4 linked regions of the Lonchura striata genome follow. The protein of the gene in region 1 purifies or fractionates together with the protein of each later gene. This does not show direct contact. Links are inferred from orthologs where the notes say so. Each region holds a gene or a part of one and is shown in the gene's direction. Other genes may lie near its edges. The genes, in order: CXXC1, OGT, SETD1B and BOD1L1.

What was found.
Region 2: the proteins of CXXC1 (region 1) and OGT purify together in Homo sapiens (affinity purification with mass spectrometry; 3 studies listed by BioGRID and IntAct, with this or other methods). This does not show direct contact. The link is inferred for Lonchura striata from reciprocal best matches to the Homo sapiens genes CXXC1 and OGT.
Region 3: the proteins of CXXC1 (region 1) and SETD1B purify together in Homo sapiens (affinity purification with mass spectrometry; 11 studies listed by BioGRID and IntAct, counting the BioPlex papers as one, with this or other methods). This does not show direct contact. The link is inferred for Lonchura striata from reciprocal best matches to the Homo sapiens genes CXXC1 and SETD1B.
Region 4: the proteins of CXXC1 (region 1) and BOD1L1 purify together in Homo sapiens (affinity purification with mass spectrometry; 5 studies listed by BioGRID and IntAct, counting the BioPlex papers as one, with this or other methods). This does not show direct contact. The link is inferred for Lonchura striata from reciprocal best matches to the Homo sapiens genes CXXC1 and BOD1L1.

Annotation. Positions count from the first base shown.
Region 1 is NC_134638.1:856,192-863,691, reverse strand, and holds the start of CXXC1 (CXXC-type zinc finger protein 1), read left to right. Parts: upstream 1-4,498; 5' UTR 4,499-4,551; coding exon 4,552-4,554; intron 4,555-4,646; coding exon 4,647-4,744; intron 4,745-5,358; coding exon 5,359-5,459; intron 5,460-6,010; coding exon 6,011-6,114; intron 6,115-6,740; coding exon 6,741-6,896; intron 6,897-7,500. UniProt on the Homo sapiens protein: Transcriptional activator that exhibits a unique DNA binding specificity for CpG unmethylated motifs with a preference for CpGG.
Region 2 is NC_134616.1:18,902,619-18,910,574, reverse strand, and holds the start of OGT (UDP-N-acetylglucosamine--peptide N-acetylglucosaminyltransferase 110 kDa subunit), read left to right. Parts: upstream 1-4,952; 5' UTR 4,953-5,084; coding exon 5,085-5,121; intron 5,122-7,956. Other genes in the region: TAF1 (transcription initiation factor TFIID subunit 1), read left to right, coding at 1,053-1,151, 1,366-1,516, 2,265-2,442, 3,461-3,677. UniProt on the Homo sapiens protein: Catalyzes the transfer of a single N-acetylglucosamine from UDP-GlcNAc to a serine or threonine residue in cytoplasmic and nuclear proteins resulting in their modification with a beta-linked N-acetylglucosamine (O-GlcNAc).
Region 3 is NC_134620.1:12,363,908-12,371,016, reverse strand, and holds the start of SETD1B (histone-lysine N-methyltransferase SETD1B), read left to right. Parts: upstream 1-4,104; 5' UTR 4,105-4,356; coding exon 4,357-4,429; intron 4,430-4,791; coding exon 4,792-4,946; intron 4,947-5,372; coding exon 5,373-5,471; intron 5,472-5,966; coding exon 5,967-6,237; intron 6,238-7,109. UniProt on the Homo sapiens protein: Histone methyltransferase that catalyzes methyl group transfer from S-adenosyl-L-methionine to the epsilon-amino group of 'Lys-4' of histone H3 (H3K4) via a non-processive mechanism.
Region 4 is NC_134606.1:14,432,736-14,440,442, reverse strand, and holds the start of BOD1L1 (biorientation of chromosomes in cell division protein 1-like 1), read left to right. Parts: upstream 1-4,691; coding exon 4,692-4,886; intron 4,887-5,258; coding exon 5,259-5,383; intron 5,384-6,594; coding exon 6,595-6,785; intron 6,786-7,707. UniProt on the Homo sapiens protein: Component of the fork protection machinery required to protect stalled/damaged replication forks from uncontrolled DNA2-dependent resection.

The DNA of each region.
Region 1 (7,500 bases):
GAAGGCAGGGAAACATGAGGGGGAAGGGTGGGAAAAATTAGGGAAAAAGCAGGAAAATGTTAGTGGGAAAGGGCGGGAAAAGGGTGGGAAAACGTGAGGGGAAAAAGGCAAAAAAACATGAGGGGAGGAAAAAAGGCAAGAAAACGGGAGGGGAGAAAAAAGGCGGGAAAACGTGAGGGGAGGAAAAAAGGCAGGAAAACGTGAGGGGAGAAAAAAGGCGGGAAAACGTGAGGGGAGAAAAAAGGCGGGAAAACGTGAGGGGAGGAAAAAAGGCGGGAAAACGTGAGGGGAGGAAAAAAGGCGGGAAAACGTGAGGGGAGGAAAAAGACAGGAGAACGTGTGGGGGAAAAGGGTGGGAAAACCTGAGAAAATAGGAAGGATAGCAGCTGAGAAAGCTGCAGAAAGAAGGTGAGGGCAAATGGGGGATGAAAAGGGACAAAATGTAAGGACACAAGACAGAAGGGTGTGAAAAGAGGACTGGAAAGAGGGTGTGGGTGACAGAAAATGGAGCAAGAGGGAAATGAGGGACAGAAATGAAAGGGACAGAGGCGGCAGGAACTGGAGGAAAGAGGTGACAGGAATGGGAGAAACCCTGGAGAAAAGAGATAAGGAGGGAGGAAATGGTGAAGTGTGACAGAAAATGTGGGGCTGAGGGTTGGAAAAGGGGAACTAAGAAGACGACAAAGATGACAGGAGGGGACAAACCAGTGCCCACCATCATCATCTGCTGTGTCCCTACCGTGTACCCCTGTGTCCCCTCCATGTACCCCTGTGTCTCCGCTGTGTACCCCTGTGTCCCCTCCATGTACCTCTGTGTCCCCTCCATGTACCCCTGTGTCTCCGCTGTGTACCCTTGTGTCCCCTCCATGTACTCTGTGTCCCCTCCATGTACCCTGTGTCCCCTCCGTGTACCCTCCGTCCCCTCCATGTACCCTGTGTCCCCACATGTTCCTGCAGGCTCAGTGATGGACCTGAACCCACGCAGTGAGAGGCTCTACAGCCAGGACCCCCCAAGACCGCCCTGTGTCCCAGTGTCCCCCCGCCCCAGGGGCCAGGCGGTCTCGGGTGTCCCCAGGAGGGGCAATGTCCCTGCGTCCTGCCCAGTTCCCCCCTCAGGTCCCCCTGGGGGGATCCCACAGCTGGAGGTGCTGCTGAGGCAGATGCACAGCCTGCAGAAAGGTGAGTGTGAGGAGCCCTGTGCTCCCCCATATTCCCATGTCCCACATGCCCTCCTGTGCTCCCTCATGTGCCTGCCACGTCCCCCTGTGTCCCATGCGTCCCTCTCTCTGTCCCACCATGTCCCACAGTCCGTGAGACCACGGCACAGGAGCTGGTGAAGGCACAAGACTGCAGTGAGGGGTTGCGGCAGCACCTGGAGCAGCGTGAGTCACCTGGGGGGACACTGAGGGGTCTGGGGGATCCCTTAGGGGTCTGGAGGGGGACACTGAGATGTTTGGGGGATCCCTTAGGGGTCTGGAGGGGGACACTGAGAGGTTTGGGGGATCCCTTAGGGGTCTGGAGGGGGACACTAAGATGTTTGGGGGATCCCTTAGGGGTCCGGAGGGGGACACTGAGAGGTTTGGGGGATCCCTTAGGGGTCTGGAGGGGGACACTGAGATGTTTGGGGGATCTCTGAGGGGTCTGGAGGGGGATATAGAGAGGAGTTTTGGTGGGGGACACTGAGAGAGGGTCTGGAGGCGGACGCTGAGGGGTCTGGGGACACACAGAGAGGGGTCTGTAGGGTCCTTGGGTGGTGTGTAGGGATCCTGAGGGGTTTGCGGGGACAGAGGGCTCTGAGCTCATTGCCCCCTCCCCACAGTGGACCAGCGCAAGGAGGCACTGGAGAGGTCCTGGCAGCAGGTGCAGGGTGAGCCCAGGGGCCTTGGGGTCTTTGGGGCCCCCCCAAAACCTCCCCTGATGCCCCCTGGACCTCTAGCCCCCTTGACCCCCATGATTCCCTGACCCTTGTGGCCCCTCCTGACTCCCCCACACAGAGGGACCCCCTTGGCCCCTGTGACCCCCTGACCCCTCTGACCTCAACCCCTGTGACCCCCTGTGACCCCCTGTGACCCCCCAGAGTCACTGCAGAGAGCGCAGCTGCAAGGGAAGGAGGTGGAGGCCAAAGGCCAGAGGTGAGTGGGAACACCTGTGACCCTCCTCAACCTCACCTGTGCCCCCCCCCCAAAACACACCTGGTGGCCCCTGACCCCCCACAGGCACTGCGGGCTCTGCCTGGAGCAGCAGCAGGACATGGAAGGGACAAAGCAGCACTGGAAGCAGCTGAAAGACCTGCGCCGGGGACACAGGTGGGGCTGAGGGACACAGGTGGGGCTGGGGGACACAGGTGGGGCTGGGGACACAGGTGGGGCTGGGGGACACAGCCTGAGGGACACAGGTGGGGCTGGCGGACACAGGTAGGGCTGGGGGACACAGCCTGAGGGATACAGGTGGGGCTGGGGGACACAAGTGGGCTGGGGGTGGCACCAGGTGACCCACACAGGTCATGTGGCCACCGTGTCACCCCTGTGTCCCCTCACCCTCAGGTGGCAGCACTGCCAGCAGCTCGAGTCCATCATGGAGGAGCTCAAGCACCTGCGTGTCACACACGTAAGCCCGGGGCTGGGGTCCCTCACACACCTGGGGGTCCTGGCACACCTGGGTGTCCTGGCACACCCTGGGATCACACACCCTGTCCCCTGCTCCGTGTCCCCCTCCCACCACTGTCCCCCCACAGGCTCCGGCCCACCTGGAGGCTGAACTGGTGCAGCTGGAGAAGATGGAGGAGAAGTGGCTGAGCTGGGGTGAGCCCCTGACACCTGAATGACCCCCAGGACCCCCTTCAGACACCCCAGTGACCCCTGCCAACACCTGAGTGATCTCCTGACCGGCCCTGGGCCACCTGAGCCCCTCTCCCACAAGCCCCTGAGTGACCCCCTGGACACCTGAGCCCCCCCAAACCCAGGTGTGCCCCCTTGGGCTGACCGGTGTCCCCCCCTTGCGCAGAGCGCCGTGTGATGGACACGGAGGAGCAGCTGGGCCCACAGGCACCTGTGCTCAGGTGAGTGCCCAGCTCTGGCCCCGCCCCGCCAAGGTGGCCCCGCCCACTCAGGCCTGGCCCCGCCCCCTAACCCCCATTCTCGCAGGCGATTGGTGCAGCAGGACCAGGAGGGGGCGGAGCGACAGCTGGAGGTGGAGCTGGGCCGGCAGCAGCTGAGCCGGCAGCGCCGTGACAGGTGTGTGACCTCTGGGACAGGTGTGGGACAGGTGTGGGACACCTGGGACAGGTGTGGGACCCCTGGGACAGGTGTGTGACCTCTGGGACAGGTGTGGGACAGGTGTGGGACACCTGGTACAGGTGTGGGACCTCTGGGACAGGTGTGGGACAGGTGTGGGACCCCTGGGACAGGTGTGGGACAGGTGTGGGACCCCTGGGACAGGTGTGTGACCTCTGGGACAGGTGTGGGACAGATGTGGGACACCTGGGACAGCTGTGTGACCTCTGGGACAGGTGTGGAACACCTGGGACAGGTGTGGGACCCCTGGGACAGGTGTGTGACACCTGTGACAGGTGTGGGACAGGTGTGTGACACCTGTGACAGGTGTGGGACAGGTGTGTGACAGGTGTGTGACACCTGGTACAGGTGTATGACCTCTGGGACAGGTGTGTGACACCTGGGACAGGTGTGTGACAGGTGTGGGACACCTGGGACAAGTGTGTGACCTCTGGGACAGGTGTGTGACAAGTGTGGGACCCCTGGGACAGGTGTGTGGGACAGGTGTGGCCCTGTCACCTGGCCCCACCCACCTCTGGCCCCGCCCCCAGGTTGGCCGAGGAGCTGCAGCAGCTGCAGCGCCCCCTGGAGGCTCAGCCAGAGTGATGGGGACAAGATGGACACACCCCACGGGACACCTGTGCCACACCTCTGCGTGTTACCTGCGCGCCACCTGTGCCTGCCGTGTTCTCATGTCCCCCATTGTCCCCCTCTGGTCCCCAAAGCTCCCCCATGTCCCCCATTGTCCCTCAAGTTCCCCCCATCCTCCCCACATTTCCCAATTGTCCCTCATGTCCCCATTTTCCCCCATGTCCCCAGTTTCTCTCCAGTGTCCCCCATGTGCCCCCAGGTCCTCATGTGCCCCAAAATGTCCCGCATGTGCCCTCATGTCCCCGATGTCCCTCATGTCCCCAGTTTCTCCCCAATGTCCCCCATGTCCCCAGTGTCCCCTTATGTCCCCATTTTCCCCATGTGCCCCCAACGTCCCCTCAGGTCCCTGATGTCCCCCATGTCCCCTAAAATCCCCAATGTACCCCACGTCCCGCTGTCCCCCACGTCCCCAATAAACGCCCTGCCACCACTGCTCTCTCCGGCGTCTTTTTTGCGACCGCGGGTGGCAATCCCCCCAAACACGGCGGCCCTCATGGCCGCCATCGCTCCCCTGGCCGCCGCCATGCTGTACGTCGTTCTCCCGTACCGGAAGCGGAAGTTGGTTCCGCCCCCGCTTCCGGCCGCTGCTGGGCCTAGCCCGGAGCGTCCCTCGGAGGCGGCGGCAGCGATGGTGAGGGGGGGACCGGGGGTGTGGGGGAGCTCGGGGGGTCTGCGGTGTCCGGGGCACCCCCGGGCCTGACACCCCCGCCGGTACCCCCTCAGGACAGCGAATTCTCGGACGCGGAGGCGGCCCCGGGAGGGGAGGAGAACGCGCCGGTTTATTGCGTGTGCCGCAAGCCGGACATCAACTGCTTCATGATGTGAGGGGAAATGGGGTCCTGAACTGCTTTGTGGTGTGAGGGGAAATAGGGGTCCTGAAGTGCTTCGTGGTGTGAGGGGGAATTGGGGGGGTCCTGAACTGCTTCGTGGTGTGAGGGGAACGGGGGTCCTGAACTGCTTCGTGGTGTGAGGGGAAATGGGGGGGGTCCTGAACTGCTTCGTGGTGTGAGGGGGAATTGGGGGGGTCCTGAACTGCTTCATGGGGTGAGGGGGAATGGGGGTCCTGAACTGCTTCGTGGTATGAGGGGGAATTGGGGGGCTCCTGAACTGCTTCGTGGTGTGAGGGGAAATGGGGTCCTGAACTGCTTCGTGGTGTGAGGGGAAATGGGGGTCCTCAAGTGATTCAGGATGTGAGGGGGTCTGGGGGTCCCCAAGTGCTTCATGATGTGAGGGGGGGTCTGAGGGGTCGCAGCAGATCTGAGGGGCCAGCTGGGGGTCCTGGGTGCTTTTCAGGGTGGGAGTTGGGGGGGTCCCAGCTTGTCTTGGCCCCTGGGGCTGTTGAGGGGGTGCCTTGAAGCAGGGAGGGGTGCAGAGTCCCCCTGGGGGGCTTCGGGGGTCCCTGGCTGAGGGTCTCGGTGTCTCCCCTGTCCCGCAGCGGCTGCGACAACTGCAACGAGTGGTTCCATGGGGACTGCATCAACATCACCGAGCGCATGGCCAAGGCCATCCGCGAGTGGTACTGCGGGCAGTGCCGCGGTGAGAGGGGCTGGGGGCTCTGGGGGGCTCTGGGGGGCTTTGGGGGGGTTCTGGGGGGTCACTGGGGAGTGGCAGTGCTGCAGTGAGAGGGGCTGGGGGCTCTGGGGGGCTCTGGGGGGCTTTGGGGGGGTTCTGGGGGGTCATTGGGGAGTGGCAGTGCTGCAGTGAGAGGGGCTGGGGGCTCTGGGGGGCTTTGGGGGGGTTCTGGGGGGTCATTGGGGAGTGGCAGTGCTGCAGTGAGAGGGGCTGGGGGCTCTGGGGGGCTTTGGGGGGGTTCTGGGGGGTCATTGGGGAGTGTTGGGCTGAAGTTAGAGGGGTGGGGGGTTCTGATTTGGGGGGGTTCCAGGGACACTTGGGGTCTGGGTGGTTTTTGGGGTGCCTGATCCCAGATCAAGTGCTCGGCCCTTATGCGAGGCGGGGGTGTCCTGGTGGGGTTTGAGGGGTTGCTGGTGGGATTCGGGATGCCTGACCTTGTTTTTGGGGTGCCTGACCCCGTTTTTGGGGTGTCCCCGGTGGTGGACCCCCTGACCCCTCTGTGACCCCCCTCCCAGAGAAGGATCCGTCCCTGGAGATCCGGTACCGGCACAAGAAGTGGCGGGAGAAGGAGCATGAGGGGGCCAAAGGGCAGGAGATGGAGCAGGGCCGGGCTGCCAAGGTGGGCTCAGGGGGTGGGGACCCCACTAAGGGGGACACCCCAATGCTGGGGGGAGGCTGGGAGGTGCCTGAGTCCATTGGGATGAGGATTTGGGGGACAGCAGGAAGCTGGGGGGTGCTTTGAGGGAGATTTGGGAGACCCCTGACCTTCTCTGGGTGCCTGAGATCCCTTCTGGATTGGGTTTTGGGGTGTCCCGGGTGGACTTTTGGGGTGCCTGACTCAATTTTTTAGTCTCCTGACCCTATTTTTGGGGTGTTTGACCCCAGATCAAGCACTCAGCCTGCATTTGGAGATTGCGAGGTGGGGGTGTCCCTGGTGGGATTTAGGATGTCCCTAATGGAATTTGGACTGTTCCTGATGGATTTTGGTGTGTCTAACTCAATTTATGAGGTGCCTGACCCCATTTTTGGGGTGTCTGACCCCATTTTTGTTTGCCTGACCCCAGATCAAGCGCTCAGCCCGTGTGTGTGGGGAGTGCAAGGCGGAGGTGACCCTGGTGGGATTTGGGGTGTTCCTGGTGGCTTTTGGGGTGCCTGAATCCATTTTCGGGGTGCCTGACCCCATTTTTGGAGTTCCTGACCCCATTTTCGGGGTGCCTGACCCCGTTTTTGGGTGCCCGACCCCAGATCAAGCGCTCGGCCCGCATGTGCGGGGAGTGCGAGGCGTGCCGGCGCCCCGAGGACTGCGGGCAGTGCGACTTCTGCCGGGACATGAAGAAATTCGGGGGCCCCAACAAGATCCGCCAGAAGTGCCGCCTGCGGCAGTGCCAGCTGCGGGCGCGGGTGAGCGGGCACCCAGCGTGTCCCCAACGTGTCCCCAGTGTGTCCCCAGCGTGTCCTTGGTGTGTGTTGGCAGTGGGGTTTGTCCCCTGTGTGGCGTGGCCTCAGTGCCTGCCAGGGCTGGGGGTGTTGGGGTGACCTTGGTGTGTCCCCGCTGTGTCCCCAGTGTGGCTCTTTGTCACAGTGTCCCTGTCGTGTGGCCTCTGTCACCACCTCGTGTCCCTTTGTCACCCTGTCCCGTGTCCCTTTGTCACTGTCTTGCTGTGTCCTTGTGTCTCTTTGTCACCTCATGCCACATCCCTGATGTGTCACGCTCGTGGCATGTCCCCGTGTCCCCCACTGCTCACGTGCTCTATGTCCCCAAAAACTGCTGCCTGTCCCTGTGTCACCCTGAGGTGTCCCCAAGTGTCCCCATGTCTGTGTGTCACTGTCCACAGTGTCCCTGACATGTTCCCAACATCTGTTATGTCCCTGTGTCACCTTGTCTCGCTGTCCTCACGTTCCATGTCTGTGTCACTCTTATCAGCGTGTCCCCGATGTGTCCCCAACATGTCTTGTGTACCCAAGTGTCCCGTGTCCCTGTGTGTTCTTGTTCTCTGTCTCTGTG
Region 2 (7,956 bases), on another chromosome or scaffold:
GTATTTATTTGCTTCACTACTTCTGGAAGTAGAAACCTGGTGACTCATGCTACAGAGGGTTAATATGCAATCCCTTGTTAATTCTGAATAGGGAAATGGTGAAGGATATTCTACAGATTCACAAGATCATAATTAGATTATTATGGTTGCATCCAATGATAATTAGGAGCTTGGAACAGATGGTTGCCACTGTAGATACCTCATAGTTGTAAAAGGAAAAGAAAAAGCACACAGGTTAAAGGGATTAAATAATTAGAAATGAACTTGTTACAGTAACCACGAATATTTTTCCTTAGTCTTTATTCTGTATTAAACAAAACAATAAATGTTGAAGGAGAGAGAATAGCAGAAGGATATGCAGTAATAGGACTATGAAAATAAATTACTAGTAGGATGAAGAAAGTGAGGAGTCATAAGACTGAAGGTGATACCAGAAAGACTGGTGAGAGCTATTCTGAACAATGCAGGCAAACAGAGATTGGTTATGAATAGTTCTGTGTAGTATTGTAGCCATCTGTAGCTTTGTGAATGCCTTCTAGATTTGGAAGTATTCAAGCTTTCTGTAGAAATTTATAGTCTTTGGGACAGAATCTGCATGTTTTCTTTATCTTGGACTCATGGGGACTGTGGGAAGAACAGGAAGGGAAGGACAGGAAAATATTTGAGGGAAGTGCTGTATGCTTTTAAAGTATATTATGAAAATAAGCACTTTTTTTACAACCTAGTGCTATTTTCCAGAAATAACTAGTTGAACAAGGAACTCTGGTCTGTAAGGCTGGAGATTGCCAATTCAAGGATGAGCACATCAGGTAGAAGTGTGTGGAGACTGTGCTCTCTGATCTTGCAATAAAAAGGATCCTTGCTCTGAGAGTGATACACATATTTTCCTTTCTGTCTTTCCCTTCCTGTACTCCCACACCCATCTCTGTGGCCCAGGTGTCCCTCACACCCCTTGGGTGGTGTCCAGTATATCCTTCCTCAGTGCCACTGCTGTTCTGGGTGATGTCAGCAGTGCCCTCCTGAGTGTCACTGCTGTTTGTGTTCCCATCCAGATGCGCCAGGGACGAGGTAGGCTGGGCGAGGAAGACTCTGATGTGGATATTGAAGGATTTGATGAGGATGATGATGGCAAGCCCAAGACTCCAGCCCCAGTGAGTGTATTTACAGAAATCCCAGCCACAGTGTATGTGCTGACTTGCAGAGCTGTCTGTTGTGCCTGCTGCCCTGAGACAGGCTCTGAAATGCAGTTTGGAAAAGTTAGCACTGCAAAATGACACAATGCTTCAGAGTGGATAGAGTGGGAAATCTATGATAGAAATGGTAGCATGCTGCTGGATCTTCATCATCCCTGTTTGTGTGACCCAGGAAGTTGAAGATGCAGATGGTGACCTTGCTGATGAAGAAGAAGGATCAGCCCAGCAGACCCAAGCCAGTGTCCTGTATGAAGACTTGCTTATGTCTGATGGAGAGGATGATGATGATGGGAGTGATGAAGAGGGAGATAATCCTTTCTCGTGTAAGTGTCCTTTTCTGATTGTTCATTAACCCAGCTGATCTCATGCTTCTATCACAAAAACATGCTCTAGAGAGCAGAGACCAAAGGGGCAAGATGAGGAAACTGGATGAACACAAATGGGACTGAAAACAAAAGTGTAATGAGAATGCTGTATGTACAGACACACATGAAAGCAGAGTTAAGACAAGATCTTGTTGATTGTATGTCATAAAGTAAAACTGCAAATGGTTCTGAAAACACTGCGAGTATGATTTGGTATGCAGAGCCAGGAATGGGTAGTCTAGTAAAAGTACATTTATTTTGACATGAAATAGGGTTATCAATGTTAAATGTAAAATGTTAATGTTGTCATAAAAAGCAATGTTATCACAAACAGGAAGAGGTGTACAGAGGTTATTCAGATTGTTTCTATGTTTTAATACAAACTTATGCAGAAAAGCATATAGTGGTATTTAGCAATGACTTCTGAAAATTATTAGGAGGGAAGAAGGGGGAATTTTTCAGAGTAGACAAGACATAAGGCCTTTCTGAGTAATGGTGGTAATGAGATTGCTTTGGAATAACATCAGAATTGGGCACTCAGTAAGTGGTGTCACCTCCCAGACACCTTTTCTGCTGCCGTGTGGAGACACGACTTTGTAAACATTCCTTACAGTCAACACTGCAGCCTTTAAACACAGACAGTAGTGGGTATGTAAGTGACAGAACAAACCTGTCAGTTTGTGACCAAACTTTGGTCATTACACAGCTATCCAGCTGAGTGAGAGTGGCAGTGACTCAGATGTGGAGCCCAATGCAGTGAGACCCAAACAACCTCATGTTCTTCAAGAGAACACACGGATGGGCATGGACAATGAAGAAAGCATGATGTCCTATGAAGGAGATGGTGGGGAGACATCTCATGTAATGGAGGACAGCAATATCAGGTAATTAGAACTGGTTAAAATCTCTTCTCTTAAAAGATTTTTGAAGTGTTCATCATAAAAACCTGAAGAATATCTAATATTTTGCTTAAAGTTAACTTGTGACTGTTCTTACTGTTGCAATCATAAAAACCATTTAGTCTTACTGACAGAAATTTGGGATGCTGTTATATTTTCACTAATAAAAATACCAATTAAATTAGAAAAAAAACCACAATTTTTTTTCTTTTAAGTTAGATGATTTCTTGCATATTTGTAGTGGTTTTTCATGCAGGACAAAAAAAGGTTTTTACAAGCTATATCCAATTACAAGATGCCTTTGAAGTTAAAAAGTGATTTAACAGATTGACTTTTTTTTTTCCCTCTAAGAACAAGTATGTCCTGACTTGAAATTCAGTTGTTTAGTTGAAGTCCAGAAGTCTAGGAATATGCATCTTCTGTATTTTGGAAGGTGTTCAATTATTAGAAAATTAAAAGTACAACAGTATCAGCTTTATTTTTTTGCATTCAAGAGAACAGCAACCTACTCTGCCTTCTTTGGGCATTCTGTTGAGTATAAGTATTTGATTCTCTGTTCTTCTACTTGTGGAAGTCAGTTCCTTAGTGTCATTATTGATATTTGCCTAATAAATCACAGGCATCAGAGCTAAAAGGTAGCTGGGCTGGCAGGCAATGGTCATTCCAGCCCAGGATCTTGACCAGAGTCAGCAGGAAGTACTGGAGAAGATGAGAATGGGTTGAAAACATTCCTGCACTTTCTGTCTGCAGGGAAGGTGACAGAAGCTGTGGGAGCGATCAGTTTTTCCTGCCTGAAGTGTATCAGAGTGGAGTGAAGATACTGGAATTGTTTCCTTGGAGAACTGTTTTTTCTTTAGTTTCTGTTTTAAAAAGCTGGCCAGTGACAGAATTGAAATGTGCAGTGGTTCCCTAGGGTTCACAGGACTTCAAGCCAACTCTTAAGCAGTTAAATACAGAATTGATGGTATCAGCAACTAATTTGAAATTTTCTTCTTTCTTCTAGTTATGGCAGCTACGAAGAACCAGACCCAAAGTCCAACACAAGAGACACGAGTTTCAGCAGCATTGGAGGCTATGAGATCTCAGAAGAGGAAGAGGAGGAAGAGCAGCAGCGGTCTGGGCCAAGTGTGTTAAGTCAGGTCCATCTGTCTGAGGATGAGGAGGACAGCGAGGATTTTCACTCCATTGCAGGAGACAGTGACCTGGACTCAGATGAATGAAGTCCCTTCCCTGAGATAATGGTCATCCTGGGCCACTCTTGCCTCCTGAATTTCTCTTGTCCGAGTTTGGTGTGAGGAACAGTGTAGTGTGGGCTGTGTTAACAAGATTTCTTTTAAGATATATTTTAATTGACTATAAAACATGTTATATGAATGAGTAAATGATGAAGAATAAGCATTAGACAAGCATGTCCTGCTGAAGCCTTGGCTTATTGTAGCCTGTACTGGTTCCAGAATCCAGATAGAGATTTGTATGGTTTGTTCTTCAGTCTTTATAGGTGTAAAGTAATTCCTCAGAAATACTGGCTCTTTGGATAAATGAGTATCTGTCAGGAAAAATGCTTGCTCAGAATGAAATACTTGCTGTTGATGAACAATTTTAAGGCAATTTTCATTTCATAAAGGGGAGCTTTTTCTCTGGGACTACAAATACAGTGTCTGATGTCTGACCCCTCAGTGGTTTTGGGAACTGCCTAACTCCTACCAATACCTCAGAAACAGCTGCCCTGCTTTTTCTAGAAGTTGCAGTAAGTTCCAGGTTCCAGAAACCAGACTTTTGGTGATTTGAACCTTTAGGAAGGCTCCCGGTTCACCGGAGACTGCTAACTTTCAGTGCCCCGGGGAGCTAGTGCAGTCCCCGGAGCTCGGTGTGGAGTCCTGGTGCGGCTGACGGAGCTCATGCAGTACAGCAGGAATGGGGACACGGACGCCTTGGCTGCCATTTCTCTGTGCGGGTACACGGTGAGCTCCGGTGTCCCGGTTATTGAGCTCTGCTGTCCGTGTGACGGAGCTGCACTGTGTCTGAGCTGATGCCGCGGTGAGCCCCACCGGCCGATCCCCGCTGTCCCAGCCCCGCTGTCCCAGCCCCGCCGTCCCGCCGTCCCAGCCCCGCCGTCCCAGCCCTGCCGGCCGATCCCCGCCGGCCGAGCCCCGCTGTCCCAGCCCCGCCGTCCCGCCGGCCGATCCCCGCTGTCCCAGCCCCGCTGTCCCAGCCCCGCCGGCCGATCCCCGCTGTCCCAGCCCTGCTGTCCCAGCCCCGCTGTCCCAGCCCCGCCGTCCCGCCGCCGCGGTCCCGCCGGTTCCGCGGGGCCACGTGCGGGAGTGCCGGGAGGCGGCGGCGCATGCGCAGTGCCGCCGCCGTTGGCGCAGCGCTGCGCGCGGAAGGATAACTTTATCTCGACCCGTGCCTATTGCAGCAGGTCCCTCCGCCCGCCGTGTGGCAGCGCTGCCCGGCGCCGCCCGGACTCTTTTCCGCGGGGATAGTTCCGGCCGCGGCCATTCGGTACCGCCGCCGCCGCCATTTCGGGAGCGCCGCCTCAGCGCGCCGCGACCGCGGGCAGCTCGGCCCGGCCCGGCCCGAGCGCACCTTCTGCCGTCGCCGCCACAGCTTCCCCGTCTCCTGTCCCGATGGCGACCTCCGTGGGGAACGTGGCGGACAGCACAGGTACCGTGCGCTGCGGCGCTGCCGAGGACGGGCTGGCCGGGGACGGCGGGGGCCCGGCCGTGCCCTCGGCCCCGGGGCCGCTCCCCGCCGGCCGGGCCGGCGCCCAGCGGAGGTTTCCGGACGCGGCCGGCGCGGTGCCCGCCGCCCGTGGGGTCTGTGCGTGCCGGGCCCCGGCGCGGTCCCGGGCGCGCTCCGGTGGGCGCTGCCCGTGGGCAGCCCCGGGCCGCTGCCGGGGAGGTGTGAGTGCGGCGGGCTCGCTGCTATATTTACCAGACTATCAGGTGACTGCGTTAGAGGGCGAAGTAGGGTAAAAGCCTGACCCAAAGTGTGCGTTGGTTTGCCCAGAATCGCTCGCTGCACTTAGGCAGGACTTTTTTTTCAGCAGCCTGGTCGAATGGAAGGTGTCCCTGCCCGTGGCGGTGGCATTGGAACGAGATTATCTTTAAGGTCCATTCCAACCCAAAACGTTCCATGATTCTGTGGCATAGACGAACGCTAAAGCGCTTTTCTGAACAGTAAAATTGCGTGTTGTATCAAGGAAAGATCCTGCCCTAAATTTAGTTCGCAGATCCAGAACTTGAGGAATGGAGGAGAAATCTGACTTCCTTTGTACAGCAAGAGAAAGAAGTGTTGGCTTACTGAAAGGGTGAAAGGACAGCGCAGCTTTATCCCCCAGATTTTGAGGGTTTCTGTAATCAGGGGGGGTGGGGAGAGCTGAAATGATGCTTGGGAAAAGCAAAAGGAAAAGGAGGATTTTTGGAGAAAGAGACGGGACAGCGGTGCAGGAGATAGGGATCTAAAGAGAAGCGGTAGTGATACGGAGAAGTGCTGCAGTACGGTGTTTCGTACTTTCTCAGCTAGAACTGTGTGTGGTCAGCGAGGCTGCAGCATCCTCTTGTAGCCGGGATCCTTGCGGGTAAAAAGAGCCACGTGCACGCTGGGAGGGAGTCCTGTGCTATCCAGCACCTCCCAGCTGGAGGGAACCACTGCTTCTGTCTGGAACTAGATGGTGTCTGAAGGCAAGGTTGAGCTTGATTGCAAGTGCTTAGGATGGTATTTGTGGGGGGAAAATGGCCTTGGGTGCCTTTCTGGTGGTTCTGTGCAGCTTTTTGTTTGCTTGTATCGTCCAGAACCCTCAGGGAAGGTCATTGTCACAGCACTGTACTAGACTTTTCCAAGGTCACAGTCAAAGCATGCAGCACAAATTAGCCAAGGTACAGAAATTAATTTATGCAAGACACGAAAAGGGATTTTCCTGGCTGTGACTTCTCACTGCAGTTATTTTCTTTACTAATTGATTCAGTGAGCATCCTTTCATGGGCTCTTTTATGGATATTTTGCACTCCATAACTTCCAGCCAACTTTGTATTAAAAGTTTCATTTGTTCTGGGCTTCGTGATGTGGCTGTCCACTTCTGCTTTTCAGTGTACTTCACAATCGATTATAAAATAACTGCTTGGAGGTAGATGACTGGCAGTTTTACACTGAGGTTGCCCTATCTCTGGAGACAAAGGTTTTGGCTTGTTTTGTAAACAGAGGCTCTTGATAAATTAAAGAAAGTGTCAAGTGTTTCTTCGTTTGTTGGTTTTGTTAGTAGTTCTCATTTTCAGGGGTTAAATCTCCACTGCCTGCTCTCTTGATCTGGCAGTTGCACCTGCAGTTTGACTTCTTGCTTTAAGTAGGCAAAATGTAGCATTGATATTATGACTGAAAGCTTCTTTCCCTGCAGTCATAAGTCTTGAAGTGAAAACTTCTGGGGTGTTAAGCTTTGGGGTGCTTTTTAGTTGGTTTTTTTTTTTTTTTTTTTTTTTTTTCTTTGACATTTACTAAAACAATTGAAATGTATTTGAAGAAGAAATTGAGTTCATGAGACACGCTATTCCTCTATCTGGTTTCTCTGTGCCATCAGCGGAAGTTGGCGCTGACTGCCAGAAGGGCAAAACCTGTTAACAGCACAGGGACCAAGTGAGGAACAGTTTGCTGGTGCTCCAGTATTACTGTCAGCACCATTTATAAGCAGTGTGGTTTTCAGCCACAGTTCAACATTCTCATACTGAATAAAGGTTGTACCTTTTTACCTTTGCCAGTATGTTTAACCACATCCTGAAGTCCACGTTGCTCTTACTCAGGGTTTGAAAAACAGGAATCTAATCTGGATCAAGATACTTGGTTACTAATTTGTCAGTTATCTAAAAAGAGACTGGCAGTGGTAGTTCAAATTTACTGTGGCAGAGACAATACACTATCTGGAAAAAATACTGTACTTATATCATACAGGACTTGGAGTCTTATACTGAAACCTACTGGTGCTAAACCCCCAAATTTGAAAGTAATTTAAATAAATTACATCAATCCCAATTTCATAAAATAAATGCTAGGTAGTAAATCTGTATTTATCTTTATGATTATATAAATTATATGATTATGATTATTTTTGCCATCTTTAAAGTTCTCACAAAATCATGAACTTTTGTACTACCTTACTACAAAAATGTAGGTTCAGGTATTGAGGTGCTTTCTTGTATTAGGAAAGGTTTATCTGTTTCATTTAGAGTCCAAATTTTAAAACTGTAGGATGAGGTGGAAAGTGTTTAATGAATGGAATTAAGGGGCTGCAGAGTGCAGGAGGGAAAATGAGAGATACTTGGAGTAATCAAACATTTTAATAGTAAGAGTTGTTGATATAAAGGCAGAATTTGAAGGCCAACACTTCTTTCTATGATGAATGGTTGTGGGTTTTCCAAGTTGCACTTGCTTATTACTTTGTAAGAAATTTTACTTACTTCTCTCACTTCTGGTTGCTTTGTCTAAAATAGGTGGCATTTCATTTAAGTA
Region 3 (7,109 bases), on another chromosome or scaffold:
GGTGAGGAGCGAGGGGGGGAGCGAGGAATGGAGCGATGAGCGCAGTTGTTGCGAAAGGCGCGGGCTGCGGTGCCTCCTTCGCGGCAGCACCCTGCTCCCTCGCAGGGAAACAGCCCTGAGCCTCGGCACATACCACAGCACAGGTTGTACAAACCCACGGACCGGCTTGTGCTGAGCCGCAGGAGCTGCGGGCAGGGCGCACCCTGCCCGGCACATGCCGCTCCCGCAGACAGCCTCTGCCAAGCAGCCACTTACCTTCTCCCTCCCTCAGAGTCCGCAGGACGGTCCTGCTCTAGCCTTACCAGGGAGGCCACCTCTATACAGTGTTTGCTTTTCCTCCCTGTCCTGCCCTCTGAAGTGGTTGGTCAAGCCAGGCTTTCCTGGCTCACCTACTCTGGGTCTGCAGTGAGCACAAGCTGCAATTCCCCGCAGAGCACAGCGAGGATTGTGAAATTCCGAGATAACCCTCAGCCTCCACTCAAAGCGAGCTGCAGCAGAATCTGCTCGGGGAAAGAAAAAAAATCCCACCAAAAAAACAAATCAGAAGGAAAAAAAAAAAAAGAAGAAGAAAAAAAAAAAAAGACGCCACATGTAACACCTCATCGAGCCATGGCGGCTCCACTGCAGCACGGCACCGGCTCCGCGCCAGCCCTGCCCGAGCGGGCCCGGGGAGCTCGGCGCTGCAGGCCGGAGGAGGCAGGGCAGCGCTGCCCCGGCTGGGTGATGGCGGAGGGGGAACAGCCCAGGAGAGGCAGAGAAGGAAAACAACAAAGAGCCATGTGACGGGGAGCGGCGGCCGCGCTCCCCCCGGCGCACCCGCTCCGGGCGGGGAGGTGGCGGCGCCGCCCGGCCCCTCCCGCGGCCAGCGCTGCTGCTTCCCCCCGTCTTCCACACCGCCCGGGCTTTAATTTTTTTTGTGCATTTTATTTTTTTCTCCTTATATGTATAGGGAAAGGGGGGTGGTGTTGTTTGTTCCTCTTTTTCCCCCCCTCTGCATTAGGCGACTTCCATGGCTTGCTGTTTTTATAAAGAGAGCAGGAGGCTGCGGCGGGGGAAGGGCGGTGTTATTTATAGCAGCCGGCATTATCCGAGCTGCCTTTGTCCTCCCGGCCGGCCGCCCCCCCGCCCGGCCCGGCTGGAGCGCCGCCAGCCCCGCTGCCGCAGGGCGCTCCCGCCATGTTGTGCGCGGGGAGAAAGAGCCGCTGCTCCCTGCCCAGCTTCGCCCTTCCACAGCCCCTCACAAAGCGCTGGGGGATGGGAGGGGGAAAAGGGAAAAAAAAAAAAAACCAACCAAAAAACAACACCCCAAACCCATCATTTCCCTGCAGCGCCCGGGACGCGGAGCGCCGGGAGGCAGCGGGGGGAGAGCCCGCCGCGCCACCGCCCAGCGCTGAGGAGAACGCGGCGCCGAAGGGAAGGAGAAGCCATGATGGCGGCTGCCCTCACACAACACGGAGCGCGACCGGGAGCGCCGTGCCCGCCCCTCCCGCCGCCCGGGACACGGTGCTGCCGCAGCCTTTCACATAATAAACCCACCAGAATTCGGCGGGGAGGCCATTTTCGTGGGCTGGGTGGCGGCACTAAAGCACAACTGCTGTGAATATCAACTGCGTCACGGCTCTCCATCTGTAACACTCAGGCTGCAAAGGGTCCCTCACTTGGAAGGAAACTCCCTCATTTTGGATATACTTCCAGACCTCCTTTTTCCCCCCTCTCTCCAAGTCACTGCCTCTCGGTATGAAGGATTTTACAGTGCTTTCTAGGGAGACATCCGCCATTAAGACTCACCGTCGTGAAAAACACCCCCCCATTTTGTTGCCTGTTTTTTGTCGAGCTTCTGTAATTAGACGGATAAAACATGTAAGGGATCCCTACCACCACCACCGCCTTCTCGCCTTTTTTAACATCAACCTCACTAACATCTTACTGTTCACAGGCAGATTTTTTTTTTTTTTTGTGCTTTCAATTTAACAGCCACGTAATGCCTGCCTGCAATGGATTCACAGCGTCTCTCCGCACCAAAAAAAAAACCAAACCCACCCAGGGCTGAGGACGACCAAGAGCTTTGTGCAGAAAGAGAAATCAAATCCCTCCCTGAAAACAGACGTTTCAGAGGTACTGTTAGATGTTTCTGAGGAGAAGGAGATCGCCACCGCTTTCAGACGACCATTGGGATCTTTCCACCCAGGACAATACCATTAGCTACAGGCCTGGGCTATTTGTTCCTCTGCAAGGGCAAAAGGGTTTACTTACCCGCACACCATAGTTGAATGCAGCTCTGAAGGTGAAGTTGTTACTCTTTTTTAAAATAATGGCTATAAGTATATATATGATCTGTATCACCACTTCTCTCGTAAGTTTGCGAGGCAAAGCGGATCTTGTTAAGATAAGTTATGGATCTTTGTGTGACAGTGGTCTAGCATCAAAAAAAGAGGAAAAAAAGGGGGAAAAAAAGCTATAGAAAAAGTCCAGCTATGTTGACTGACCGTACACAGGCGAGGACTCCTGCTCGAGGCTTAAATCTACCTTCCTGTGGCAGATTTACTCTGTACATAAAAAGGACGTTCAGTGTTTTTCCACAGAGCACGCAGACACTAAAAATATTCTCCTCAATAGTTTTAGGCTGCACATGTCAGTGTGAAAACACCTAGTTAACATTTACTGGTGCTAAACAACTTTTAAGCATATCTTAGCCAGATAATTTGCTTTATAAGTAAAATATTTCAAAAAGCATAAATTGGTTTAAACAGACAAAAACATAAGACATGCAAATGAAGGCTTAGCAATAAGGACCACTTCAGTAACATTAACATGAAAACTACACTTAGCGAGGACAGAATGGATTGGGTACTTACAATGTAAGAGGAAAGAAAGAGAAAAAGCTTATCATAGTAAAATTGCCTTATTTTTTTTTTTTGCCAGAAATTACTATTCCTATACCCATATTTAAAACATTACCTTTTAAGCACCAAAGGAGTTAATAAAAATGGCCAGGAATCAAGTGTTTAATACAAGAGAGAAGTCTCTCAAATTTATTGTTCAGTCATCAGAGCTGCTTAAAGCTTAAAAACCCCCAAAACAATGAAAAAATAGAAAAAGAATGTATTTACTCTTTTTTTGTTGGCATTCGAAATTGTTAACTGCTGACATAGGGTGTGCCGTGACCTAGTTACACAAGACAAAGATGGATCCCGAATCATAAGGGTGAAAAAAATCCGCATTACTTTTTTTTTTTTTTTTTTTTTTTGTTAAGGGTTTGAGATATATCTATATATTTAAATCCTCCTTCTTCAGTGAGTCGTCTGGCACCGTGCTAGAGGCTCCCACCACCCCGCGTGGTGTGGATTCACATGGCGGATCCCCCTTTATGGAACAAAGGAAAAGCCCAGTTGGCCATTTCGCTCCACTGCAGAAAAATGGCTGCGGGTCCCGCGGCCTCTCCTTGGCTTCTGCCGCGCGGTGCTTTTACCCCGCCGCCTAATAACTCAAGCCCCATGGAAGCCGCGCTCCCATTGGCTGCGCCCACCGCGCTGCCGCCGCCCCAGCCAATGGCGCGGCCGCTCCCGGGGCCGCCGCGGCCCCGCGCCCCGGGACGGCCGCGCCATGCGCCCGCCGCGCTCCGCCCGGCCCCGCGCCCGCCGAGCGCCGGGGGCACCGCGCCGCCCGCCTCTAACACCGAAAACAAAATGGAACCTCCCCGCTGATTGGCTGACGAGGGCTCCGGACCTTTAATAAGCAAAGCTGCTCCCCCATCTTCCATCACCCCTTCCTCTGCGTGTGTTGCCACCCCCCCCCCCCCCGCACTCTCCGCCGCAGCGGCGCGGCGGGTCCGCGCTCCACCCGCCCCCGCGGTCGCCCGGGCTCGCTGAAGTCTTTCCCTAAAAAAAAAAAAGAGAAAAAAAAAACGAAAAAAAAAAAACCAACTTGTCCCACCTATAGGTCCATCTTGTTTAGAAACAGTTTGCTCTAAGGTAAATGCAGCGGGCAGATTCCACTCGCCCCCCCGCATGCCGTTAACCCCGCGGCGGGGAGGGAAAAAAAACCCGCGCGTCCCGGTGGCGGCCCATGCGGCGGCGCTCGGCGGCGGCGGGGCGGCGGCGGGCGGCCGCGGGCCGGGGGCTGCGCGGCGCGGCCGCCGTGAATGTGCAGGCGGCGGAGCGCGGTTAGGCGTTCGCGGCGCTCGCAGCGGTGTATTGTGGGATCCCGGCCGCCGCCAGCAGCGAGCACACACACAATATGTGGTGGCTCGCGAAAACGGGAGGCAGGAGCCTGGCGGGCAGCCCGCGCCGGTAACCGGCCCCATGTGAGACGGGAGCTCGCCTTTCGCCGCCCGGAGACGATCGGCCGCCCAGCGCGATGTCTTTCCGAGAGACCAAGGCGGGGGAAAAAGCCAAGCACCCTGAAGATCATGGCAAAAAGCAGAGTTCAAGTGAGATTGGGTCTTTTTTTCCCCTTCGTCTTCTTCTTTTTTTTTTTTTTTTTTTTTTTTTCCCTTTCCCTTCTCCTCTCCTCCTCCTCCCTCTCTGCCTCTTGTCTGCTTGGGGTGGAGGGGGGGACCCAGTTGGCAATTCCCCCATTTTGGGGCTCGTTTCGCGGTGGATTTCCTCCCTGCCTGGGTGTGTAGATCGGGCGGCTCGTTAAAAAAAAAAACAAAAAACAAAAAACAAAACCCACACCGAAACGAAGATGTCTTTGTTTAATATTTTTTTTAACTTTATGGTTTTTAGTGTGCTTTTTCTTTCTTTTCCCCTTACCCCTTTCTCTCTTCCCCCCCCTCCCCCCCGCGTTCAGGTTGGATCAACGGAATGGAGAACAGCACGCAAGCCAGCACTTCTGTCGAGAAAAGAAATCACCATTGGAGAAGTTACAAGTTGATTATTGACCCGGCTCTGAAAAAAGGACAGCACAAACTCTACCGTTACGATGGGCAACATTTCAGCATGCCTGTGAGTGGGGGGCTCCCGGGTTTCCCCCATTGTGTCGTGCCTCCCCCCACCAGCCTCTGTTTTACCGGCGTTTTGGGGGCTGGGGGTCCCTCCGGGTCGTGGAAATCCTCGCCGTAGCGCGTGTGTGTGGGAGGGGGGTCTTGGGGGGGGGGGACACGCACAGCCACCAAAGTTACAGCCACCTGACACTGTGTATTCAACTGTCAGGAGCCCAAACCTGCGGCTTTTTTCTGTGTTTCCAATCTGTGTGCATTTCCCAGCAGTATTGCAATTTGACACGTGTGTGTGTGCGCTTTCCCCTTCCCTTGAGACAGCCCGTGCTTCCTCGGGATTTATTTTTTCTTTTATTTTTGTCTTAAATTTCAAGTCTTGTTATTGCTGTTTCTATGTTTTCTCCCCTCCTCTTCCTCCTCCTCCTTCTCCCAGAACTCGGGGATCGCTCCTGTGGATTGTGTCAGGGATCCCAGAATAGGGCGAATATGGACCAAAACTAAGGAGTTGGAGCTGTCTGTCCCCAAATTCAAGGTACTGCCCTGACTTTTGGCTTTAGCTCTGGAAACTTGTTTATCTGGGAGTGAAGCCTGAGTTCCAAATAGTTTAATGGACCGTTTAAATGACAGTCATATTTATATTAACATTGTTATTTAGCAAACTGTTTAACAATAATCCTCTTCTATGAGGATAACAAGAAATCAATGCATCTGTCTAACGAGATCACTTGAAGGTTTTGGAGCTGGGGCTTCTGGGGCAGGGGACAGTGGTGGGGGGGCTCTCCGCTGACAGTACTGCTCAAAATGCATCTTTGTAGCCCAGAAAAGAGCCGGTTACAATGACTGGCTGCAGCGGCAGAGCCTCTGCTCAGCTCCGAGGTTCACCCAGAGCCTTGGAGGTTTTTTTTCCACCCCAAAGTTTGCAGGATGGTTTAACCCCCTCCGTCCCGTGCCATCCTTAGGTCCCTCCCCCGTACTCATTAACAATGCCGATAATTTTTATCATTCCCCACCTTGTGCTCGTTTCCAGATTGATGAATTTTACGTGGGGCCAGTGCCTCCCAAGCAGGTCACCTTTGCCAAGCTGAACGACAACATCCGTGAAAACTTTCTGGCCGACATGTGCAAGAAATACGGCGAAGTGGAAGAGGTGGAGATTCTCTACAACCCCAAGAACAAGAAGCACCTGGGCATTGCCAAAGTCATCTTTGCCACTGTCAAGGGTGCCCGGGAGGCTGTGCAGCACCTTCACAACACTTCTGTCATGGGCAACATCATCCACGTGGAGCTGGATACAAAAGGTGAGGGGGCACATTTGGGGTTTGCAGAGCCCCTGCCCGTCCCACTCCCACCACAGGGGCTGTTGCATAGGGCAGGGACCTGTGATTAAAAATACGAAGGGAGCCGGCAGCGGGTCTGGTGTCTGGGGCCTGGGCGAGTCACGTGGAGCCAAATGTGTTGTCTGTTGCTAAGAGACAGCCCTGTAATTTGCAAAATGCTGCCATCCTGCCTCTCCCCTGCCCATCCCTGTCCCTGCTTGCTACCCTCTCATGTCCCCCATCTCCCTGCCCCAGGCTGGTCCCTCTCAGCCACCTGCTAGGGCTGCTGGACCCGGTGGCACCTGCGTTTTGCAAACTTGGGATTTTTGGGCAAGTCCTGGGACCCAAATCTGTGGATTCCGGTGGCAGCAGCGGGGCTGGGTGCTGTCCCCTGCGTGCCTGGCATTTCATTGATACTTAGAGCGGGCTGGGGGCTGGCACAGCAGAGTGCACACGCAGCACTTGTCAGTGTGTGCGAGTGTATAAGTGTGAGACTGGCTCTTAAAGCGACAGCAGCTCCCTGTGCTGGAGGAACCAGCTCCAGCCCCACTCCCGAGCCCTCAGAAGCCAAATAAAGTTTCTGCAAGTGTGAAGGCATTGCCTTTGGTCTGTTCTCTTCTCCTCCCAGTGTGCTAGTGAAAGGGCTTTGCTAAAATCTGCCTGAATTTTAGAAAATGTCTAAGACTGAGGAGGTGTGGATCAGTTGCTGATTGTACTTCTACATTCTAAAGGTGGCATTTCTAGTTTAAGACTGGTTTGCTGCACTCTTTCTTGGGAAAAAGATATTGCTAACACCATTTTCTTAAAAATGCTGATATTTTTGTTTCAACAGTTTAGTGCACAACCAACACAGC
Region 4 (7,707 bases), on another chromosome or scaffold:
CATTCCATTTAAGCGATGCTTCCACCTTGATTTCACCTTGCTGTAGTCAGCAAAGAATGCTGATATAAAATGTGTCACGCTTTTGTGTATCCACTGACTCTGCTTTCATGTTTAAGCTGTACCATTTTACCTTACCATTAAAATTACATTTTGGCAAAAGTGAAAGAGTGTAGACAGAATATATAATCTCTTGTGCTCTCTCTGGAGAACAAGTTTCCATTAAGTTTTCTCTGTCTCCCTGTACACAAATAGCAAAAACATGTATTTTCCAGTCAAAAACAAACACCAAAGTAAAAACTCTATTAAAGGGAGCCCAGTAACTCCTTCTATCATTTTTCACCAGAATGGAGAAACAAAGTGGTAACTCTCCAGCATGCAGGAACCTACATTTAAAAAAAGAAAAAAAATAAAAAAAAAAAAAGCAGGGAATAAAAAGGGGAAAAAAAAGATATGTTGAGATCATCGATCACATTAGCAGGAATTAAATGTCAAACTCCCTAGATGCCAACAACAATCCCAACAATATTACATCCATTAGTCATTGTTTGCTTGTGAAGAGGTAAGAAAGCTGTCATGTGCCTGTCCCTTCTCTCACTGCCATGAGAGAGAACAGCACAAACGTTGCATCACCAGTCACAGCCACGGCCACACAGATGGGCTTTCCTCTCACAGGCAGGTCAAGGCTCCATCTGCCCTTGAAGATTCCTTTCTTGGTTACAACAACAACAACAACAAAATCAAGTAATGTTGTGTATTAAAGCTATTTGTGACAGTAATCTTTTTTTGCTCTCAAATGTCACCCTCTAAAAAGGCTCTATTCATCTCACAAAACTTGGGCATCCAGAAACTCAATTTCTTGGCATTGACAGAGACATAAAATAAGAAAAATGGAGAAAAGGCATAGCTGTACCTTCAAAATAATGTACTTTAAAAAGCATTATGTGCAGGTTTGGTGTCACACTGAAGTTCTGAAATTGGAAAAAATAATCCTAACTTTTCAGATAAAGTTATACTCAGAGGTGTAACTTTAAATGGTTCTACCATGTTAGGCTACATAAAATGAGTTATTGTCTCTGCATATCAATAAAAAGTATTAAAAAATCCAGGTTGATGAAATGTGACTTACAAGACTTCGCTTTTTCTCAAACTTTAATCAGACAATCTTCCCAGCAAATACAAGCAGTTATATTAGCTACTGAACATGACAAGTTTAGTATTTTTACAAAGCACTTCAGTCTATCTATTTAACTTGTCAATTTGAGGAGCCACCAAATGTCCATCTCTGCTGAACTTAAGCATCACTAACAGTTATCCTGGTCAGTTCCAGTGGGAGAACCAGAGTCACATGGTAGTTTTAGTTTTGCTCTCTTTAGAAGTGACCAAAGAGTTTTTGAGGTGTCAGTGCAAGGTCATGACAGCCTACTCCAAATAAAAGCTTTCCTTTCATCACTTAAAAACATGTTGTCTAGTCACTGTTTTCATGCACTTCCCAAAGGCTTGCATGTAGAAAACACAACAGGCAGCCTCCCATTGAAGCAAAATACATTTGCTGTTCTACAGATAATTCACTCAAGCCACATGCTTCACATTTTATACAGGGCCTACTTGCCAGCCAAATAAAAAATATAAATACATGTATACACCTGTTTGAACAGATAAAAACATGAAGGAAACATGGTTACAAGCCAGAAAGAGCACTTCAAGCATGCACTACTAAACAGTTTATCCAAATGTTCTTATTTACATACCTAAAAAAAGGATGACAGAATCATATCCTCCATTTATGGCAGTCCAATAACATTTTATCTACTGCAACTATTCCCATGTAAGGATATGGACACCATTCCAGTCACATCACAGCTGAAGGTATAGTCCGTGCCTTGGCTACATTTCAGTCCTGCAACTACAGCATTTCACGCTGCAGCTTAGCTGAAGCCACATATGCTGTTATTGATGAAGCATAAAATCTCAGCAATGCTGGCACCGTTTCTCTGCTGCTCCAAAATACAGCGGACTAGATTATGATTACTAGTGCTGCTCCTAGGCATAATTTTGCCTTTTTTTTTAGAAAAATCCTGCAATAGCAAGGACCAGAAAATCTGAGGCTTTCTCTACCTAGAGATAATCATAAAAGTATACTGTTTATGCACAGGGAGAAACAAAAATTAAATATGCATCAGGCAATGCACATTCATACAACAAATCAATTCACCATCCAGTTCTAGGGTTTATTGTGCCATAATAAACAACATACCAATAAGCCACACAATAAAAGATAATAAACCTCAGAGAATGGATGGTAACACAGATGGTGCAAGCCACAGACATGTTACCACATATGCAGAGGAAGAAGTGAGCAATTCATCCAGGACAGATCTCTTGTTGGTGTTGGGCAGCTTTAGAGCTTCTACTATCCAAGAATCTGCTCAGGCATTTAAGTTATTCCTGTTGAAAAGTCTTTATTTTTAGTACAAAACTCAAAATGTTACTAAAGAGCTCCCCTTTCTGTGTACCTCTGTCTGTAAAAGACTGCAGTGGTTAAAGAGGAACAGCACCTTTGTATGCTCAGTACCAACAGCAGTACTTTATCTTTGCACAGCACAGAATTTTGCAACAGAATTCATCACAGAAGAAGGGCATCTCCTATCACTACCAAAATTGTTCAGATTAATCCATGCAAAGTGAAGGACTTTTACCTTCTTTTTTTACTTTCTTAATCCAGCTGTCACCTGGATTTCACATACTTCATAAATTTAGATTCATTATCAGCATACACAACATGAACAAAGTTTTTGAGGAAAAAACTACACAAAGTGTTTCACTGACAAACAAAAACGAGAAAATAGCAACAAACCTGCCAAGTTCAGTCATCATTTTTAACAATTATGGTATGAACTGACCTCAACAGAGTTTAAGTCTATGAACACTCATAGAATCAGTTGGCCACTCTGAATTTGATGCCTGTGGTAGCCATGCATAAAATAAGATTTCTGCAACATTGTCTAAAAAAGTAAAAGTGAGCTATTGCCAGTGCTTTATGTTTACTTATGCTACTACAAGTAAAAGTATTTCCAAATTCATCACAGTATTTTATTCCTATGACACTTGTGCCCCTAGTTAGACAAAAATGAGACAAAATCTGAGATAAAAATATGTTAATTTGAAATCACAAGTTGAGCAGCTTGCTGACGTGACAGCAATGGCCGAAATGGGTCTACTCAGCCTTAGAGCCGTTCTCATATTCAGGAACAAAAAGCCTAGAGCTAGAAACAGAAAAAAATACCTTCCCAGTCCCCAGTAGCCCACAGAGCAGGCATTCTAAGCCACAAGCACCTTCCCTGATATTTGTGACTTGTACTTTCATGTACTTCTCCAGCCTGCAGCCATGTAACAATTTGTTCCCACAATATAATATACATCTCATTTCTGTCTGTCTCATATCTTAGTATTTCCTCAGCAATTCAAATATTGCTTGAGGTTTAGCAACTGCATCTGTAACTACATCTGCTGTCTACGTTATTTAGAAGACATTAGGAAACTTGCTGAGACTTCTTGTATTAAAAATATGTCAAAAACTTAAGAGTGTCTTAAAAGCAAATGCAAAAGCAATTTTAGTCATAACCAGTTTGTAAACATATATAGCAGAGGCTACAGGTTAAATTGTATCACACAGAACCAGGTCCAGATGCCTCAAACAATTCCAGGGACAGTGGCTCCATCACTTTGCTGGGCAACCCACTGCAATGCCTGACCACCCAAACAGTGAAAAATATGTTTTCTAATATCTAATCTGAATCTTCCTTGCCTCAGCACATTGGACAGTTGTGACTGTACATGAAAAACAAGGGCCAAGAAGGCAACCAGGAAACAAGAAATGTGTTGAAGACGTTTCTTTTACACGAACGCATGAGAATGCACTGATAGGTAAAGGTGGCAAGCTTGAATTCGAGTATTTTAAGTATCATCTTCCAGCCGCTTCCTCCAGGGGCGCGGCGACAGCGGCCCCGGAGGCCGCACGGGGCGGGAGCGGAGGCAGCGCCCGTTATCAGCCAGGAGCAGCCCCGAGACGTCCCGAGCGACGCGACCGCGACTCCGATCGCGATCCCGACCGATCGGATCGCGGATCGCGGCCCCATCCGCTTCCGCCGGCGGTGACCCCGCGGCGCCGCCCCGCCCCTGAGGGAGGAAGCGCGCGCGCCGCCGCACCGCGATGGCGGCGGGCGCAGGAAGGGGCGGGCCGCAGGGCGGGGCCGCGCGGCGCCGCCGGGAGCGCAGCAGCGGCGCGGGGCGGCGGGGACAGGGGCGCGCCCGCGGTGCCCGCAGCGCCCGGCGGCGGCCGCGCCGCGCGGGGAGCCGTGTGCGCGGCGGGCGGAGGCCGAGCGGCGCCGCGGCCGCTGCTCTCCTCTGCCTCCTCGGCCCGGCGGATCGGGGTCGCGCCGGCCCGGGGGCCGCGAGCGGCTCCGCCCCCTCCGCCCCTGTGCAGGGCCCGCGGCGGCTGCGCGCGGCCGCGCCAGTGCTCGTCCCGCGCCGATGGCGCCGCTCTCGGCGGCGGCGCCTCCGCCTGCCCCCTTCGCCGCTTCCTCCCGCCGTCCCCTTCCGCTTCCGGGGCCAGCGCCGCCGCTGCTCGCTGAGCAGCCCCGTCCCGGGGCCCGGCCGGCACCGCCGGCAGCAGCCGCCGCCCCGCCGCCCCCATGGCCACCAACCCGCAGCCCCCGCCGCCCCCGCCGCCGCCCCCTCAGCAGCCGCCGCCGCTGCCGGGGGCCGGGGCCGGCGCGGGGGGCGGCGCGGCCGAGCCCGAGCTGGTCTCCATGATCGTTAACCACCTCAAGAGCCAGGGGCTCTTCGACCAGTTCCGCCGCGACTGCTTGGCCGACGTGGACACCAAGGTGCGGGCGGGCGGGAGCGGAGGCTCGGGGGCTCCCCGGGCTTCGGGCGGTCGGGACGGGCCCGGCCCGGGGCGGTGCGCCGGGCGGTGCGGAGCGGCCGCGGGGCCGGCTCCGCTCGCGGCCGGGGAGCGAAGCCGGAGCCCGCGTTCGGCGGGAGCGCGGCCGGCCGGCCGTGCACGCACGGTCACACACGCCCGGTTCGCGCAGGGCCCGGCGGGGCAGTGCTTAACGCGCTGCCGCAGGGCAGCGGCTGCGCCTGCGGAGCACCGGGGCTTCCGACGGGGCTCCTTGCTGTACCAGCCTGGCCTCCCGGAGGATAACCAGCCACGTACGTGATCCTTCCCGTCCAACCTCTCTGCTGTTGCTTTCTAGCCTGCCTACCAGAATTTGAGACAGCGCGTTGACAACTTTGTTTCCAACCATTTGGCAACTCATACTTGGAGTCCTCATCTCAACAAGAACCAGCTGAGAAATAACATTAGGCAGCAGGTTCTCAAGTAAGTGACAGCTCTGGAGCTGCTCTGAATATGCTTGTGTACTGTGATAGGTCACAAAGGGTCTGGGTCTGTGTAAAGTGGGTTGCTTTCTTAAGAGAAATGTTTGAAGAAGTTGGGTTGTTTTCCCCTCTCAGTGTTGAAAATGGAATACTACTGGGGGTAGTAACTTGCCCTCAGTATTAGCCAGAATTAGACTGCAGATGTTCTTTGATCTGATCCAAGTTTATGCAGGGGTGGAAAACTCGATTTTGACTTGAGATGTAACTCCCTAGCTAAATGCTATCTTTGCTTTTTCTTTTAAGGGAGGTGTTAATAAAATTGCAATAATCATTTTTGGAGCTAAGGGGAAACGTTCCACAGACTAAACTCTGCAGAGCATCAAGCTGAAGTCACAAAATAGAAAAATGTATTTAAATACAGCTGGACAGAGAAGAGGTTTTAAGAACTGGTGTTATTGTTAAAATTTTGTCAGACGCTTTAACCTGATATGACATTATTTCATGAAGGTTCCTTCAGACTTTCTTTTCAAAGAAACATTAGGAAATTTCTTCAAAGTACCATGAGTTTGGCCATTAAATTGGGTCAAACCTCGGATTTGGGGACAAACTTAATCAGCTGTACTGTGGTGGTACCATTGATAACTTGTACTGAGGACTGCTTGGTTTGTAGGGAAGGAAGCAACTATTCTTTCTTGTTAAAAAAGCAATGACAACAAGAGTTGTCATATGTCCCACAAAAGACTACAGGGGTCTAAAAAGATAAGCTTTATAGCTGTGGATTTTCTTTTTTATTTTACTGAAGGCTAAATGTGTTCTATAAAGCTGCAGAACCTGCCACATAATACTGGGCAGAAAGTAACTTAGGGTAGTGATGAGTGGTTTAGTAGTTATTTATGCCTCATACCATCTGTAATTCATCTCTTTTTTGCTATGGTAATTCCTAATACAAAGTTTCTTCTAAATTTTTTCCAGAAATACTGTTTTTGCAGTTTGATCACACTTGTAACCACTAATGATGTAACAACAGGCTGCTTGTATTAATTCCATGTGCTTGGATTGTTTTGTTTCTCTAGCACATTTTTTCTTATGGGTAAGGCACAGGCTAAGTGCATAGCTGTGGAAATGCCCAGGAAACATTGGTGCTTCATTGGAGCACATCTAAATGATCTTAAAAACTATTTTTTCATACTAATTTATGTAACTTTGTTCCAGGTCTGGAATGTTGGAATCGGGAATTGACAGAATTATTTCTCAGGTTGTGGACCCAAAGATCAACCACACATTCAGACCTCAGGTGGAAAAAGCTGTCCATGAATTTTTAGCCACATTGAATCACAAAGAGGAGGCAGGCCCCAGTACATCTCCAAGTGAGGAGAAAGCAGATGCATCAGTTACAGTACAAGGTATTCTACCATTTCTCTGAGTAGTATATTAACAAAAGAATGGTGTTTAAGAGAGCAGAATCATTTACTAGGTTTTGTGCTACCATAATGCTGTTAGTATCAGTATTAGCAAGCTGAGCTCCAAGCAGCATGCCAGAACACTTGTCTCTTACTCTATGTTTAAATGTAGAAGGCAAAAGAGATGTCACGCTGTGACCATGTCACTCACTCACTTCTGGTGAGATTATGAGGGATCAGCTTATTGTGGGGAGAAAAGCTGGTCTCAGTATTATAGGATCAGATAAGACATAGATGTGTAAGAGAACAATGATGCAGCTTTTTATTTAAGAGACAGTTCCCTGTGCAGTTGCTGTGTGTCATAAAATTTGGATGGCTAAGGTCCTAATATTACCTGTATCAACTCCTAAACACTCCTGCAGGTAATTGTCCATTCTTTCCTGTTCTAAGAGACTTCACAGCCATCCATCTCTTTGTAACCTTTATTTAAATCCAAGCCTTTATCCTGTGGGGCCCACTTCCTTTAAAATGGGTTAACAAGCCAGCTGCAGTTCTCAGTGCTACTCTGCCTAATGCTTCGTCTTCAAAGCTTGTTCTAAAATGATAAGTGATAAGGTATTTCTGATAGTCTTGTTATATAGTCAGTACGCTGAGTTGATTTTCTATGACATTTATGGAGATATTAGAGGTGTGAGCTATCAACTTTCTCTTGCAGTGTATATACATATATATACAAAGAATATGTATTATATACGTTGTCATCTGAATTAGGATGTTGGTAAAGTTGAACAAGGGCTGTGTTCAGATGTCACTCCCATTGACATTCCTCACTTTCTGTAGGCAGAGCTCGGGAACAGTGGTGTGTCACAGTGCAAAATGGATCTCTGGTAATTGTACAGTGCTTCCTGCCCAAACACATCGTGGA